2 linked regions of the Elephas maximus indicus genome follow. The protein of the gene in region 2 interacts with the protein of the main gene of each other region in a pairwise test. Links are inferred from orthologs where the notes say so. Each region holds a gene or a part of one and is shown on either strand. Other genes may lie near its edges.

What was found.
Region 1: the proteins of SYCE1 (region 2) and BFSP2 interact in binary tests that used the Homo sapiens proteins (3 or more experiments, as listed by UniProt). The two-hybrid records come from large-scale screens. The link is inferred for Elephas maximus indicus from reciprocal best matches to the Homo sapiens genes SYCE1 and BFSP2.

Annotation. Positions count from the first base shown.
Region 1 is NC_064844.1:46,439,303-46,446,272, reverse strand, and holds the start of BFSP2 (phakinin), read left to right. Parts: upstream 1-3,968; coding exon 3,969-4,457; intron 4,458-6,970.
Region 2 is NC_064834.1:83,296,294-83,304,168, forward strand, and holds the start of SYCE1 (synaptonemal complex central element protein 1), read left to right. Parts: upstream 1-4,860; 5' UTR 4,861-5,014; coding exon 5,015-5,084; intron 5,085-7,875. UniProt on the Homo sapiens protein: Major component of the transverse central element of synaptonemal complexes (SCS), formed between homologous chromosomes during meiotic prophase. Requires SYCP1 in order to be incorporated into the central element.

The DNA.
Region 1 (6,970 bases), on a different chromosome or scaffold from region 2:
GGCAGCAGGAGTATGCAGCCTCAGGAATCACATGGAGGACATCAAGGCGTCCACGTCCTAACATCACACAACAGGGCCTCCAGGGCAGCCAGCGTGAGCATGCACTGTGCCAGCTACAGGGCTGCCTTTTCCTAATGGAAAAGTCTCCCCTTTAAGTTCGTTCCTGCTTCCCCTCCACTGCCCATATCTGCATTAAACCCTCGTGCCTTTTTCTCTAGAGGGTTTAGATGCAGACCTAGCCCACCAGCAAATGTTTATTAGGGTTTGGAGGTTTGTTTTCTCAAAAGGCAATCTTATTGTGTCCCTGAAAACATGTTTGGGGTAGGTCTGTAATTTTAGGAACCTTCCTCCTGCGATCTTAAAAAACCGAGATTGCTAAAGCGAATCGCTTAAGAGAAGATGCCCTTTAACCTCCAGTCGGTGTTACAGATCTGCCGTTGGGGTCACCACAATGACTGGTCCTCCAGCTCTGTGTTTTGTAGACGATAATCCCCTCCGTCTGGGGTTGGCTGCCTGCACCTCCCTCCCCATACTGCGTCCTGCATGGCCAACAGGAGTCAGACCCTCGGAGATACAAGAAGGACTTCCAGAGATGGGCTGCCTGTCTATTGTTTTTTCTAATAGCCAGTGGCTGGGAGAGAAGATAACTGCTTTCACGTTTCCTTTCTCTAAAAGAGAAATAGTTTGATAGTATATTTTGAATATAGATGCTATTACAGTCAGATTGGGAATTGAACTTGAATGTTGACTTACATGTTAGTGTCGTTGCTGTGGTCTTTTGATCATGACTTTTTCCTTTCTTCCTACGTTTCAGTTTTTAAAATATATATATGGCCTTCAAAAATGTGTGTTCTCAATGTTGTATGAACTTACTTAACCTGTGTTTGACTGTTGTCTTTCTTCAAAGACTCTTGGACCTACAAAGAAGCAGGTTAAATGCTCTGAGATCCATTCTCTAACATGCTGCTGTCTGGCCTTTTTAACCTTATCATGATATTTCTGTTAGCTATTGCATTTAACATATCTGTGTGTGTGTGTGTGTGTGTGTGTGTGTGGAGAGAGAAATCTGTAAAGTAAAATTTATATATAATATATGTAATCAAAGGTACATATGTTATATATACGTATGTGGATGTATGACTTATTTTTCCTTATCCACAGAATTCAGCTACCATGTATATATAAATAAACTTATTTTATTAGCCAGAGGATTGTTGTTAATACATTTTGTGTTCTTTTCACTTTAACGTAACTTCCTTAAGGAGTCCCCATATCACCTTGTGCCTAGCTCTATTTTTTTTAATTGGATTTAACAGCAAATTGGGTTTAATGAGTGTGATGAGCTAGTAGGATTAGCAGTCTATCATTTGAGAAAACAAATCCTTTAGAATATGTTTGTGATTTCTCCAAAAGAGAATCCTCTCTCTTAGGTCTTTGGAGACACCGGTGTCAGTTAAGATGGGCCACCTCCTCATCCTACCCCTCCCAGGGCTCTGTGGAGTCATTGTAAACATCTTCAGGATAGAGCAATCTGAAGTTAACCTGGCCACTGAGGGTCACCACTCTGTGGAGAATAACAGTGCCTAAACATATCACCTTTGCCAACAACTTCACCCATATTTTGGACCCTTCATTTAGCCTTGATACATCCTGGAATTCACAAGAATGCAGATCCTTAGGCCAGTCAGTGTCTCCTACATTGCTGTTGGGTACCATCTAGTCGATTCCAACTCATAGTGACCCCATGTGGCAGAGAAGAACTGCCCTATTGGGTTTTCTTGGCTGTAATCTTGATGGGGCAGTGGTGGCACAGTGGTTAAGAGCTACCAGCCAAAAGATCAGCAGTTTGAATCTACTAGCCACTCCTTGGAAACCCTATGGAGCAGTTGTACTCTGTCCTATAGGCTATGAGTTGGAATTGACTCAACAGCAACAGGTTTGGGTTTGGGGGTTTGGGTAATCTTGATAGCAGCATATCAACAAGTCTTTCTCCGGCGAAGCCGCTGGGTGAGTTCGAACCACCACCATTTCCAGTAGCATCCAAGCACTTACCTGTTGTGCCACCAGGGCTCCTTATCACTAACACTACCCAAACAAAAAAAACTAACACTGGGAAGATGTTATTATACACAGGCTTGTCTGTGCCATGACCACATCAGGTGCACCAGAGGTGGCACTCACAGCAAGAAGGCCAAGTCTAAAGAAGGGATACCCCCAGCCTTTGCTTGATCAAGTTGGTTTCTTAATCTGTTAATCAAATAACCAACCTTGATAAAATGCCTTTTATGCCATCTCAGATAGATGAAGAAAGAGAAAAAGGCAGCGGGGGCGGGGGAGCATGGTGTTGTCCTAATGAGCAGCAAAGAAGAGCACACAGGATATTCTTGTAGGTGAGTAAGGTTTTTAACTCCTGTGGGACCTTGCATAGGTACCCTTCTCTAGTGGTGGGAGACAGAGAGGGCCTGGGTCAGTCACTGGACTGGAAGTCAGAAGAGGCAGCTCTGCTCCTTTCTGGAGATGAGACCTTGGGCAAGTCATTGAGCCCTCAGGGCCCTCATAAAATGGGAATACTGGCCAATTGTAGGGCATGTGATGATACTTCTAGAGTTGTGCAGTGCGCCCAAAATGGCGGTACACGTCAACCCTGTACCTACCTCCAAAAACTGAATTGAGAAGTCAATGAAGTAAAGCATGGAACCCATTTACTGGGGTGGGTTCAGTACTCACTAGAAGTTGGTTCCCTTCCCTTTCTCTCACTCACTTCAAGTCTGTTCCCACATTGCAGGGTCTGGGATAAATAATTCAGCTCTGGGTTTTGGTTACCTGGTTTCTCCAGAGTAAGACTTAAGTTCAATGGGTTTAGGTCCAGGTTGTCATGCCCTGGGGCTATTTTCTGGCCCTGGAGAAGTGACAGAAGGGTGATCCACGACAGCATGCCTCGGTGGATGACTACTGAATCCTAACTTGAGTTCCCTTAGACAGCTAACTGGAAAACCACTCTCCTTGTTGTTCTTATTTATTTGTTTTCCAAAAGATGAGGAAACAGGTATGGAAAACATCCGTAGCATAATAAGTATCCAATATGTGTGGGACCCAGATTTGCTCAAGGTCCCTTATCTCGTGCGTCAGGCCAGCGTGTGGAACGCAAGGTCCAGAGAAGTGAGGTAGCTTGCAGCTGATGGACAGCAGAGCTAGAGCCCATCTACCTTGACGGACCCTCCACACCCCAGGCTCTCTCTGAGGACACCTCCCCATCCCTGAAAGACACAGAGACAAGAATGCCCACCCTGCCCCCAGGAAGGGGGCTATAGGGCAGAGGTAAGAAGAGAAGATAGAGGTAGGGAGGGACATGAAGCTGCTGCTATGATTGAGGGGGGTGAAGGAAGCAACAAGCTGGCTTGGTTTCTCTTGAGCCCCCAGGACTGCCTCCCCCCATGCTGGCCTTCATCCACTTTCATCCTCTATTACCTGTTGACACATGTGCACATTCAGACCAGCAGCACAAACAGGCACTGAAATGAGGCCTGGAACACCTGGATGAAGCTTTGGCTAAACCACTCGCTAATGAGCTAAGGTCTCTTGTACCTCAGTTTATTTATCTGTGAAATGGGGCTGCTTGAGACCTGCCTTGCCCTCTCTTAGATAGTGAAAGCCTGTCAACACATGTGGCCCAATTACATGAACCCCCCGATGAACCACCCCCACAGCCTGCACTGATATAGCCTCCCCGCCCCCACACCAGCTAAACAAGCTAGGAGGTTGGGCACGTGGTCCTGCAGAGAATGCCTGAGTGCCTGTCTGCAGCAGCCCTGGGCAGGGCCTGTCTCAGCGAATTATGGAAACTCATGGAAGTAGCAAACAAAGCAGCCTGGGGGCGGGGGAGCTTCCAGAGAGGTCTGTGACCAGGCCACTGGGACTGGACTCCAAAAGCCACTGGACTGTGTAAACCCACAGAGACAGAAGGGGTGATGAGCGAGAGGCGAGTGGTGGTGGACGCACCCACCGGTGCCAGCTTCAGCATGTCCCTCCACAGGCGCAGGGCGTCCTTCAGGGGGACTCAGTCATCATCTCCCCTGGAGAGCGCCCTGGGCTCCAGGGCCAATGTTGGGGGTAGCCTGGTCCAATCACCTCTGATCTATATAGGCACAACACCCACCGGGTACATAGGTGGCCAGGGTGCCCACGTGACCTGCCGAGCCCTGGGCATCAGCAGTGTCTTCCTACAGGGCCTTCGGAGCTCAGGCCTGCCCTCTGTGCCTGCTCCTGGCCTGGAGGGGGACCACGATGCTGCTGAGGACTTGGGGGGCTGCTTGGTGGAATACACGGCCAAGGTACGTGCCCTGGAGCAGGTCATCCGGGAGCTGGAAAGGCAACTGCGGACGCACCTGGAGAGCAAGGCTGCGGGCTCGGGAAGCTGGGGTGCCCTCAGGGCCTCCTGGACCAGCAGCTGCCAGCAGGTGAGTGCCTGGGCCGGGCCACCTCTGCAGAGGGCCTGGAGGGAACAATGAAGGCTGCCTGTTGTACCATCTCTGGGGTCATTATCAGAGAGTCCGAGGGCTGGGGTAGGGGACAGGGGAGTGAGTGATCCAAGGCCCAGAAACTGACCGCAGACCTTTACCCTTCCGTGCTAAAAAATACTACTAATGATAATAATAACAACAACAGTGACAGTGGCTACTATTTACCGAGGTTCACTAGGGGCCAGGCCCACACTCGTTCCTGTATGCACGCTCTCTCCTATAATGTTCACAGTGTAGGCAGTGGCTCCATCATGGATTTCATCTTTCAGATGAGAAAACCAAAATCACAGAAGTTAAGAAACGTGCCCACGATCACACAGCTAATTGGGAGTTGAACCTGACATTTGAACCTGAAATTTTCCATCTTCAAAGCTTGCACTTGTCCCATTACCCTGGGCCGCCTGTGTCAGCCTTTATTGTTGTTACGTGCCATCGAGTGGATTCCAGCCATCATCAAATTCAATACCGCTGAATGGATGTGGTACTAAAAACGATGAGAAAATGGAAGCGTGTTCCTCTATCCACCCATAACAAAACTGTCCAAAAGAAATGTAACATGAGCCACGGAGGTAATTTCCAGGTTTCTATTAACCACCACAGTAAAAAAAAAAAAAAGGGAAAAAGAAACAGGTGAAATTAATTTAACATTATATGTTATTTAACGCAACATATATTTTTTTTTATCCAAGATGTTATCATTTCAATACGTAAAAAAAAAAAAAGCTTTCTATTTTAGTACCTTTGACGGGCCACCACCTGTCTGTCAGTTTGTTGTACCGCGGTGGCTTGCATACTGCTATGATGCTGGAAGCTGTGCCACTGCTATTTCAAATACCAGCAGGGTCACCCACAGTGGACAGGTTTCAGTGGGGCTTCCAGACTAAAAGGGACTAGGAAGAAAGCCTGGTGATTTACTTCCGAAAGTTAGCGAGGCAAACCTGATGGATCACAACAGTACGTTGCCCAACTCGCTTTCTGTGGACATCCGGAGGGCTCAGTCACTGGAGGAGGATGTCATGTTTGGTGAAGTACAGGGCCACTGAGGGTGTGGGAGACCCTCAGTGAGATGTATTGGCACAGCACCCATAACAATGGGCTCGAACATAGTGGAGATTGTGAGAATGTCGCAGGACCAGGCAATGTTTGGTTCTGTTTTCCATAAGGTCACCATGAGTCAGAGTTGGCTCATTGGCAGCCAACAACAACTTTTAATGGCACTTTTTTACCACTTTTTGAGCAAGAGGTCCCATGTTTTCATTTCACAGCGGGACCCACACATTACATGGACCATCCTTGTTACAGGGTTACTGTATTATGAAGTTCCTTTCCATTTCCCAGCCTCTCTCTTCTGGCTCCCAGGCTGTGTCCCACCCTCCCAGCCACTTCTCTTGCTAAACACGGAAGCAGACTGAAAACCCCCAGGCACTGGGCAAAGAGTCTGAGGGGGACCCCCCGGCTCCTGCACACTTCTCAAGGAGTGTTTCCCTCTCGGCCTTGCCAGGGGCTCCAGACTCTTCTTGCCACGTAAAGGATGTTGATAATCACCTCTGGCGGGAACATCAGGCCCTTTTCATCGTCAAATAGGCCAAACACAGGCTTGGAATTTGGCAACCACCCTGTCTGCCTCAGAGCTGCAGATAAAAGGAGAGGGGACGGAGAAAGGAGCAGGAAGGAGCTGAGGCCAGGGTAAGGGGGACGCTGGCTGGGGAAGAAGGGAGGAAGTGTGGGCCTTTAAATTGTCACCACTCTGTTATGGAGCCACGGAAATTAGGGGTCTCCCCTGGAGAAAACGTCAGCTTATACCTCCAGTGGCAAAGGCTGGCAGCTGGAGGAGAAGGGGAAATGAATATTATAAAAAGTTAAGAAGATTAGAATTTAAAACAGGCCTGATCTGAATATTTTTCCTGCTGCTCACAGTCCCTGTTTCTGCCCCTTGCAGAGAGACAGCCCCTGCTCTGGGGGTCTGCCTATCTGGAGAAGATGCTGGAAACTTAGGTAGTCTAAGTCAGGGCCAAGTTTCTCTCCCCACAGAACCCGTGGCCCTAGGAGCTTTTTTTTTTTTTTCTTTTAAAAAAGAAGAAACAAGAACAGTTCCTCTGCTGAGTGAAAAAAGAAAGGCAACAGGATCATTGTTCATGATTCAAGACCTGGTGTCCCTGAAAGGGGAGAGGGACTTGAGCTATTTTTAGCATGTGTACTCCCTGAATTAAATAATACATTGACCCAAGACAAAGCCACCCAGCCTGTTTGGTCAGAGCAGGTCACTCTGTTAGCCAAGCTATAAGGGACACTGCAGTATCATTAAAATATAACTACCAGGAGAAAAATATATTTAGGAGAGTTTCAATTGGGGAGAGTGATATGTAAGACTTCAAGAAATATTTTGACAGGCCAGGGGAGGGGGCAGGGGCATGAGATCACAACCAAGGAGGTTGGTCAAGTAATATTAA
Region 2 (7,875 bases):
TAATTTTGTAGTAGAGAAGAAACAGCTACAAACATCCATTAATAATCGGAACATAGAATGTATGAAGTATGAGTCCAGGAAAATTGGAAATCATCAAAACTGAAATGGAATGCATAAACATGGATATCCTGGGCATTAGTGAGCTGAAATGGACTAGTATTGGCCATTATGAATTGAACAATCATATGGTCTATTATGCCAGCAACGACAACTTGAAGAGGAATGGTGTCGCATTCATTGTCAAAAAGACGTATTTCAAGATCTATCCCAAAGCACAACACTGTCAGTGATAGGATAATATCCATACACCTACAAGGAAGACCAGTTAATACAACTATTATTCAAATTTAGGCACCAACCACTAAGGCCAAAGGTAAAGAAATTGAAGATTTTTACCAACTTCTGCAGTCTGAAATTGATCAAACATGCAATCAGGATGCACTGATAAATACTGGTGATTTGGAATGAGAAATCTGGAAAGAAGGATCGGTAGTTGGAAAATATGGCCTTGGTGATAAAAAACAGTGCCGGAGATCCCATAATAGAATTTTGCAAAACTAATGACTTCTTCACTGCAAATACCTTTTTTCACCAACATAAATGGCGATGCTTCACGTGGACCTCACCAGATGGAATACACAGGAGTCAAGTCGACTACATCTGTGGAAAGAAACAATGGAAAAGCTCAACATCATCAGGCAGAACAAGGCAGGGGCCAACTGCGGAACAGACCACCAATTGCTCATATGCAAGTTAAAGTTGAAACTGAAGAAAATTAGAACAAGTCCACGAGAGCGAAAGTACCACCTTGCATATATCCCACCTGAATTTAGAGACCATGTCATTAATAGACTTGATGCATTGAGCCCTAATGACCTAAAAGCAGACACAGGAAGCATCAAAAGAAAATGGAAGGAATACAGAGAGTCACTATGCCAAAAAGAATTGGTCAGTGTTCAACCATTTCAGGATATAGCATATGATCAAGAACCGGTACTGAGATGCACTGAAGGCACTGGAGAAAAACAAGGCTCCAGGAATTGACAGAATGCCATTTGAGATGCTTCAACAAACTGATGCCATGCTGGAAGCGCTAACTCATCTATGCCAAGAAATGTGGAAGATATCTACATTTGTACCCATTTCAAACAAAGGAAATCCAATAGAATGTAGAAATTATCCAACAATATCATCAATATCACACAAGTAAAATTTTGCTAAATATCATTCGAAAGCAGCTGCAGCAGTATATCGACAGGATCTGCCAGAAATTCAAGCCAGATTCAGAAGAGGACGTGGAACAAGGGTTATCACTGCTGATGTCAGATGTATCCTGGCTGAAAGCCGAGAATACCAGAAAGATGTTTACCTGTTTTATTGATTATGCTAAGGCATTCCACTGTGTGGATCATGATAAATTATGGATAACATTGGGAAGAAGGGGAATTCCAGAACATTTAATTGTGCTCATGAGGAATCTATGCTTAGATGAAGAGGCAATTGTTTGAACAGAACAAGGGAATACTGTGTGGTTTAAAGTCAGGAAAGGTGTGCATCAGGGTTGTATCTTTTCACCATACTTTTCAATCTATATCCTGAGCAAACAATCCCAGAAGCAGGGCTATATGAAGAACGGGGCATCAGGACTGGAAGAAAAGTCATTAGCAATTTGCGTTACGCAGATAACACAACAGTGCTTGCTGAAAGTGAAGAGAATTTGAAACACTTATTGGTGAAGATCAAAGACCACAGCCTTCAGTATAGATTTGTAAAAATGGTGTGGGGGCAGTGTCTGACCTTCTCCAACCCAAGGGGGAAGGAGAATCAAGATCAACAGCACAAGGCTGACTCCCATGAGGCAGAGGCCAGACAAGCTTCCTCTCTTTGCCATCTGTACTAATTCTGACATCAACTGTCCCTCACATAGCACTCTTTACTTCTCTGCTGGGCTCGATATTTCACTGCAATGACCACAGAGAACTCAAAGACCATATTTAGGGTTTATTATAAGGGAAGTAACTGTTATACTTCTGGCTCAAGAACACTCAGGATACAGTTCTTTCATCAGGACAGCCTCTTCCCAACCCTGCTCACAGGCACACCTCTCCCTAGCCCTAGGCCTCTCCCCAAAGATAGTCAGCTTTCTCTGTGGGCCAGGAAGCCCAATCCACCTTCTCCTGCTGCCAGGCCTCTCCTGCAACCGCTTCTCACCCTCTTTAGGGTTATAGCTTGCTCTCTCACTCCTTTGGTCTCCTGCTTCCAGGAGCTTCTCAGCACTGGGATCCTGGGTCCAAAGGACGCGTGCTCCACTCCTGGCTGTTCTTCGTTGGTGGTGGTAGGATCCTCCTTTCTGCTCTGGAATTGGCTCTCTTTTAAGTCAAAAATGACCAAGCCCCTTGGAGGGCCACAATTATCTTATCACACAGTCCCACCCAATCACCTGAGTGGGAGTTACAAGACCATGGCTAGAAAGACCACACAGAAAAGTAATTAATCATACGGCAGGATTACACCTCAACATAAAGGAAAAAAAAAATCCTTGCAACTGGACCAATAAGCAACATTATGTTAAATGGAGAAAAGACTGAAGTTGTCAAGAATTTCATTTTACCCAGATTCACAATCAACGCCAGTGGAAGCAGCAGTCAGGGAATCAAACGACACATTTGGGCAAATCTGCTGGAAAAGATCTCTTTAAAGTGTTAAAAAGCAAAGATGTCACTTTAAGGACTAAGGTGTGCCTGACCCAAGCCGTGTTGTTTTTAATCATCTCATATGCATGCGAAAGCTGGAAGATAAGTCAGAAGACCAAAGAAGAATTGACGCCTTTAAGTTATGGCAGATACCACGGACTGCCAAAAGAACAAATAAATGTCTTGGTAAAAGTATAGCCAAAACGGTCATTAAAAGGAAAGATGATGGGACTTCGTCTTACCTACTTTGGACATGTTATCAGGAGGCACCAGTTCATTGAGGAGAACATCATGCTTGTTTAAGTAGAGGGTCAGCAAAAAAGAAGACCCGCAATGAGATGGACTGACACAGTGGAAGTAACAATGGGATCAAACATAGCAACGATTGTGAGGACGGCGCAGGATCCCGTAGTGTTTCATTCTATTGTATGTAGGGTTGACAATATCTAACAACAGATGGTTTTGGAGCCCTGGTGATGCAGTGGTTAAGAACTGTGGCTAACCAAAAGGTTGGTAGTTTGAATCCACCAGCAGCTCCTTGAAAATCTTGAGACAGTTCTATTCTGTCCTATAGGATCGCTATGAGTCAGAATCCACTCCATGGCAACGAGATTGGGTTTATTTGGCTAGCTATTGTTTTATGTTTGACTGTTCAATTGATTGATGGATCCATTCTCAGTCACAGGGAACGATCCCAATCAAGCACTTGATGGAGGTGGGCGCAAGGGAGAGCTTCTTGATGTGAGGGACCGGCGGGCATGAGGCCCTCTCCCCAGGGCCCTCTAGGTGGTGGTCGGGTTCTGTGGCTCTGCGTGGGCGGGGCAGACTTGCACCTGCAACGTGGCCACCTCATGATCCACTGCAGGCTGCCTTCCTCTTGGTCCCTGCAGGGTGCTGCAGGCCAACCCCCAGTCCTGGTCCTCTTGCCTCAGCTTCCACGTCAGCTTGCTCAACCAGAGGGCAGCAACAGCGGGTCACGCCAGCCTGGCCAGCAGGGCTAAGGGGTGCAAGGATGCCGGCCGGGGTCCTCTGGATGCACTCTCGCCAGGCCTGCCCTCGGGGCCAGGTTGACGTACGGGCCTGTGGAGCAGAAGGAGCAGCCCTGATGTCAGGAACATACTCAAATACTGCCTCCAGGACAGTGGCTAGAATTGTATCCCCCGCCCCGGCCCCCAGGGAACTCGGGACCCATCTTCTCTTCCCAGAGATAAAGCTCTGGCACAGCAGACAGTCCGCATCTGCTCCCCTGCCCCTGACCCTATAGCCGGCGGGGGGGTGTGGGGGAGAAGGGGGCCTGCCGGTCGTGATGCGCTGAAGTAGAACGTGCCCATCGACTCCACCGATTGGGCGTCGGCAAGGGGTCCAGAGGCCCCAGGAAGAGGTGGAGACTTGGGCCTGCTGAGGGAACCAGACCAGGACCTGCGGGAGCACCCAGGACGCCGTGGCACAAAACGCAGGCTCCTCAGGGCAGGATCCAGAACGAATGCGCAGGCGTCCGAGCGTGGTTCCGAGGCCCCGCCCGCATTGGTGGGGGCGGGGCCCGCAGGCCGCTGAACACCGCCGTTGGTAGCCGGTTCTGAGTATCTCCCCGTGTGTCTCCGTGTTCTTTTTCATGGAATGTTTCTCTGTACGTCCCTTTTTGTCTCTGGAGTTCTCTACTAAGAAATGGCTGCGACCCCAAGTTCCTGCCTTGGAGCCATCGGTGAAATGAGGACATCTGGCATCAGGTGTTCCCTGTTGTTGTTAGGTGCCGTGGAGTCAGTTCCGACTCACAGCAACCTTATGTACTACAGAAGGAAACACTGCCCGGTGCTGCAGCATTCTCACTGTCACTGCTATGCTTGAGCCCATTGTTCACTAAGGAGTATTAGCAGAGCAGGAACGCCAGCTCTTGGCGCCATGGCACAACACATGCGCACTTACTCCAGCCTCTGTGGGCGGGGCTAGAGGCCCACGCCTGCGCAGCACCAAAGATGCTAAAGGAGCGCGCCCCGCCCGTGTCGTTACACATGCGCAGGACACTGGCTCCTCAACTGACGAATAGCAAGGCCGCAGGCTGCCCTGCCGTTCTCTAAACTGGATTTGTGGACCTGCAAGTTTTACGCATGCGTACTAGCTGCCCGGCAGGGCGCCCGACTTCTTGAGGGCTCAGGCGGGGAACCGTTACACGCCTGTTTCTCTCTTCTTTCCCTCCTCGCGAAGTAACTGCAGGGCGGAAGTGCATTGCGCAGGCGTGTTGCAGGGGGTCGCGCCCCTGGCAAGGTTTGGTCCAATCATCGGCCCAAGCGCCGAAGACGCCAACACCTCCGAGCTGAGAGGAAATGGCGGGAAGGTCGGGGCTTTCGAATGCGGAGCTCGCAGGAGCCATGGACCGGTCTGAAAAAGGCGGAGGTAGTGGCGGGAGGCCGACGAGGGCCTTCTTGGTAGCTGGGTTGGAAAAGACTCGGGGTGCGGGGTCCGAGCGCGCTCCAGCTGGGCGGGTGCGCGGACGCTGGGCCGTTCCATCTTTGGGATGAAAGTGACTGAAAACGATTCTAAGTTTTTTTATTGTAAAAAAACGTTGATCGTTCTTCAAAGAGAAGGGAATAGTTTATATGACTCATTTAACTTGCACTGTATTTTGCTCCTTTGAGTTTTTGCTGAGGCAATTTAAGTAGTTTTCGTGAGAATTTCCGTATGAGTATCTACAAACAAAAAAAATAAAAGGGCTTTTCCCTTGAAGTGCACACCTAAGGGAATCCTCATTTTAACGGCCAGTCCACAGCCAGAGTTCCCTGTTGCCCCAGATGTCCCTACTGTGCCTGGTTTGCTTGGAGACCAGACTGTCTTTCCTTCGGGCAACCAGGGAAAGGAGGGACACGCAGCTTGTTCACATTGTACTAAAATTGAGGAATTGCAGCCCAGCAAGGAGATGAAAAACAGAAAAATCTCCCCAGTGTGTTCTTTGGGAATTTTGAACCGTAGAATGCTGTAGTCAACGCGCTTGTTGATCACTGTCTCGATACTTACCTGCGCCAGTGCCTGCTTGACACATGCGGGTGCTTGGTAGTGTTTTTACAAAATAAATGTTTGAATAATGAAATAAGTTTAGCACAGATAGCTCTCTTAGAGTAGGACTTGACACCCAGTGACAGGCCTAAGGACAAAGAGAAAAATAAACTGGACAGATCTATATATATCCCATTTTTTAAAGCACCTGCTGTGGTCTCCACTCACCATGCCGTAGAAGTCTCTTAGTGTCACGGTATCAAGTTACTCAAATAAGCTAATATATTTAAATAAAGGTTTTTTCAACTTCAACAGCAAAGGAAGAAATTTAAATTTTCAGTCCATCGGATTATTTCAGAAAGGGAAGCAGGGTGATGTCTGATGTCAGTGACCCTGTGGGGACACATGCCTCCCCATACTGAGCTGGTAGGAAGACCAGTGGGTAAAGGTTTTGCAGTAACACATCTGGCAGGATTTTTAACATTTAAATTGATTTTTCCTTTTTCAGTCACCTTCCTAGCGGATCACACAAAACACACAGATTCTGCCCCACTGGTGGTAGCAGAAAATGGGAAAGGAATGGATAAATCAAAGTATACTCATGCACACTGTGAAATACCTGGTGGTGGATTTCTAAAATAAGAAATTTAATTAAAATTAAGTTAAATATTAATTAAAGTTAATTTTTACATTATTGGATATATTTATACTCACAGATGATTGTCAGAGGACATATTTTTATGAAAGAAAAGTAATTGGAAAAATTATGTTTATAAGAGTGCTGTGTGTTGCACAGAAAAATGTTTGGAGGCTGCGTTCTTAATTTATGATTCTGGGGAGTGGATTTTGATTTAGAGGGTGGTGCGGAGGTGAAGGGTCATTTTGAATCATATGGTTTGATTTTTTTATTAAGAAAATGTAGGTAGTACTTGTAGTTTAAAGTCAGGAAAGGTGTGCGTCAGGGTCGTATCCTTTCATCATACCTATTCAATCTGTATGCTGAGCAGATAATCTGAGAAGCTGGACCATATGAAGAAGAACGGGGCATCCGGATTGGAGGAAGATCCATTAACAATCTACGTTATGCAGATGACAACCTTGCTTGCTGAAAGTGAAGAGGACTTGAAGCACTTACTGATGAAGATCAAAGACTACAGCCTTCAGTATGGATTACACCTCAACATAAAACCAAAAACCAAAAAAACCAAACCTGTTGCTGTCGAGTCAATTCTGACTCATAGCGACCCTATAGGACAGAGTAGGACTGCCCCATAGAGTTTCCAGGGAGCACCTGGTGGATTTGAATTGTCAACCTTTTGATTAGCAGACATAGCACTTAACCACTATGCCACCAGGGTTTCCCCTCAACATAAAACAAAAATTCTCACAACTGGGCCAATAAGCGGCATCACGATAAATTGAGAAAAGATTGGAGTTGTCAAGAATTTCATTTTTCTTGGATCCACAGTCGACACCCATGGAAGCAGCAGTGAAGAAATCAAAAGACACATTGCATTTGGCAAATCTGCTAAGAAAGACCTTTTTAAAGTCTTAAAAACAAAGATGTCTTCTTGAAGTCTAAGGTATTCCTGACCCAAACCATGGTGTTTTCAGTTGCCTTATAGGCATATGAAAGCTGGACAACTAATAAAAAAGACTGAAGAAGAATTGACACCTTTCAATTATGGTGTTAATGAAGAATGTTGAACATACCATGGTATGCCAAGAGAATAAACAAATCTGTCTTGGAAGAAGTACAGCCAGAATGCTCCTTAGAAACAGGAATGGCAAGACTACATCTCGCATACTTTGGACATGTTATCAGGAGGGATCAGTCCCTAGAGAAGGATTTTAAGCTTGGTAAAGGGTCAGCGAAAAAGAGAAAGACCCTCGATGAGATGGATTGACACAGTGGTTGCAACAATAGGCTTAAACGTGACAATGATTGTGGGGATGGTGCAGGAACAGCCAGTGTTTTGTTCTCTTGTACATAGGGTCACTGTGAGTCAGAACCAACTTGACAGCACCTAACACCAACAATAACTTGTGGAATACTAAAATGTAAAGGAGAAGGGGGGAATTTTTGAATGCCATTTGAGGAGCAGATGTTAATATCTATCACTGTTAATACCTTGGTTTCAATTGTTGTACCATTGGTTACCACATAGAGAGTACTTCAAAACATCACACTGGA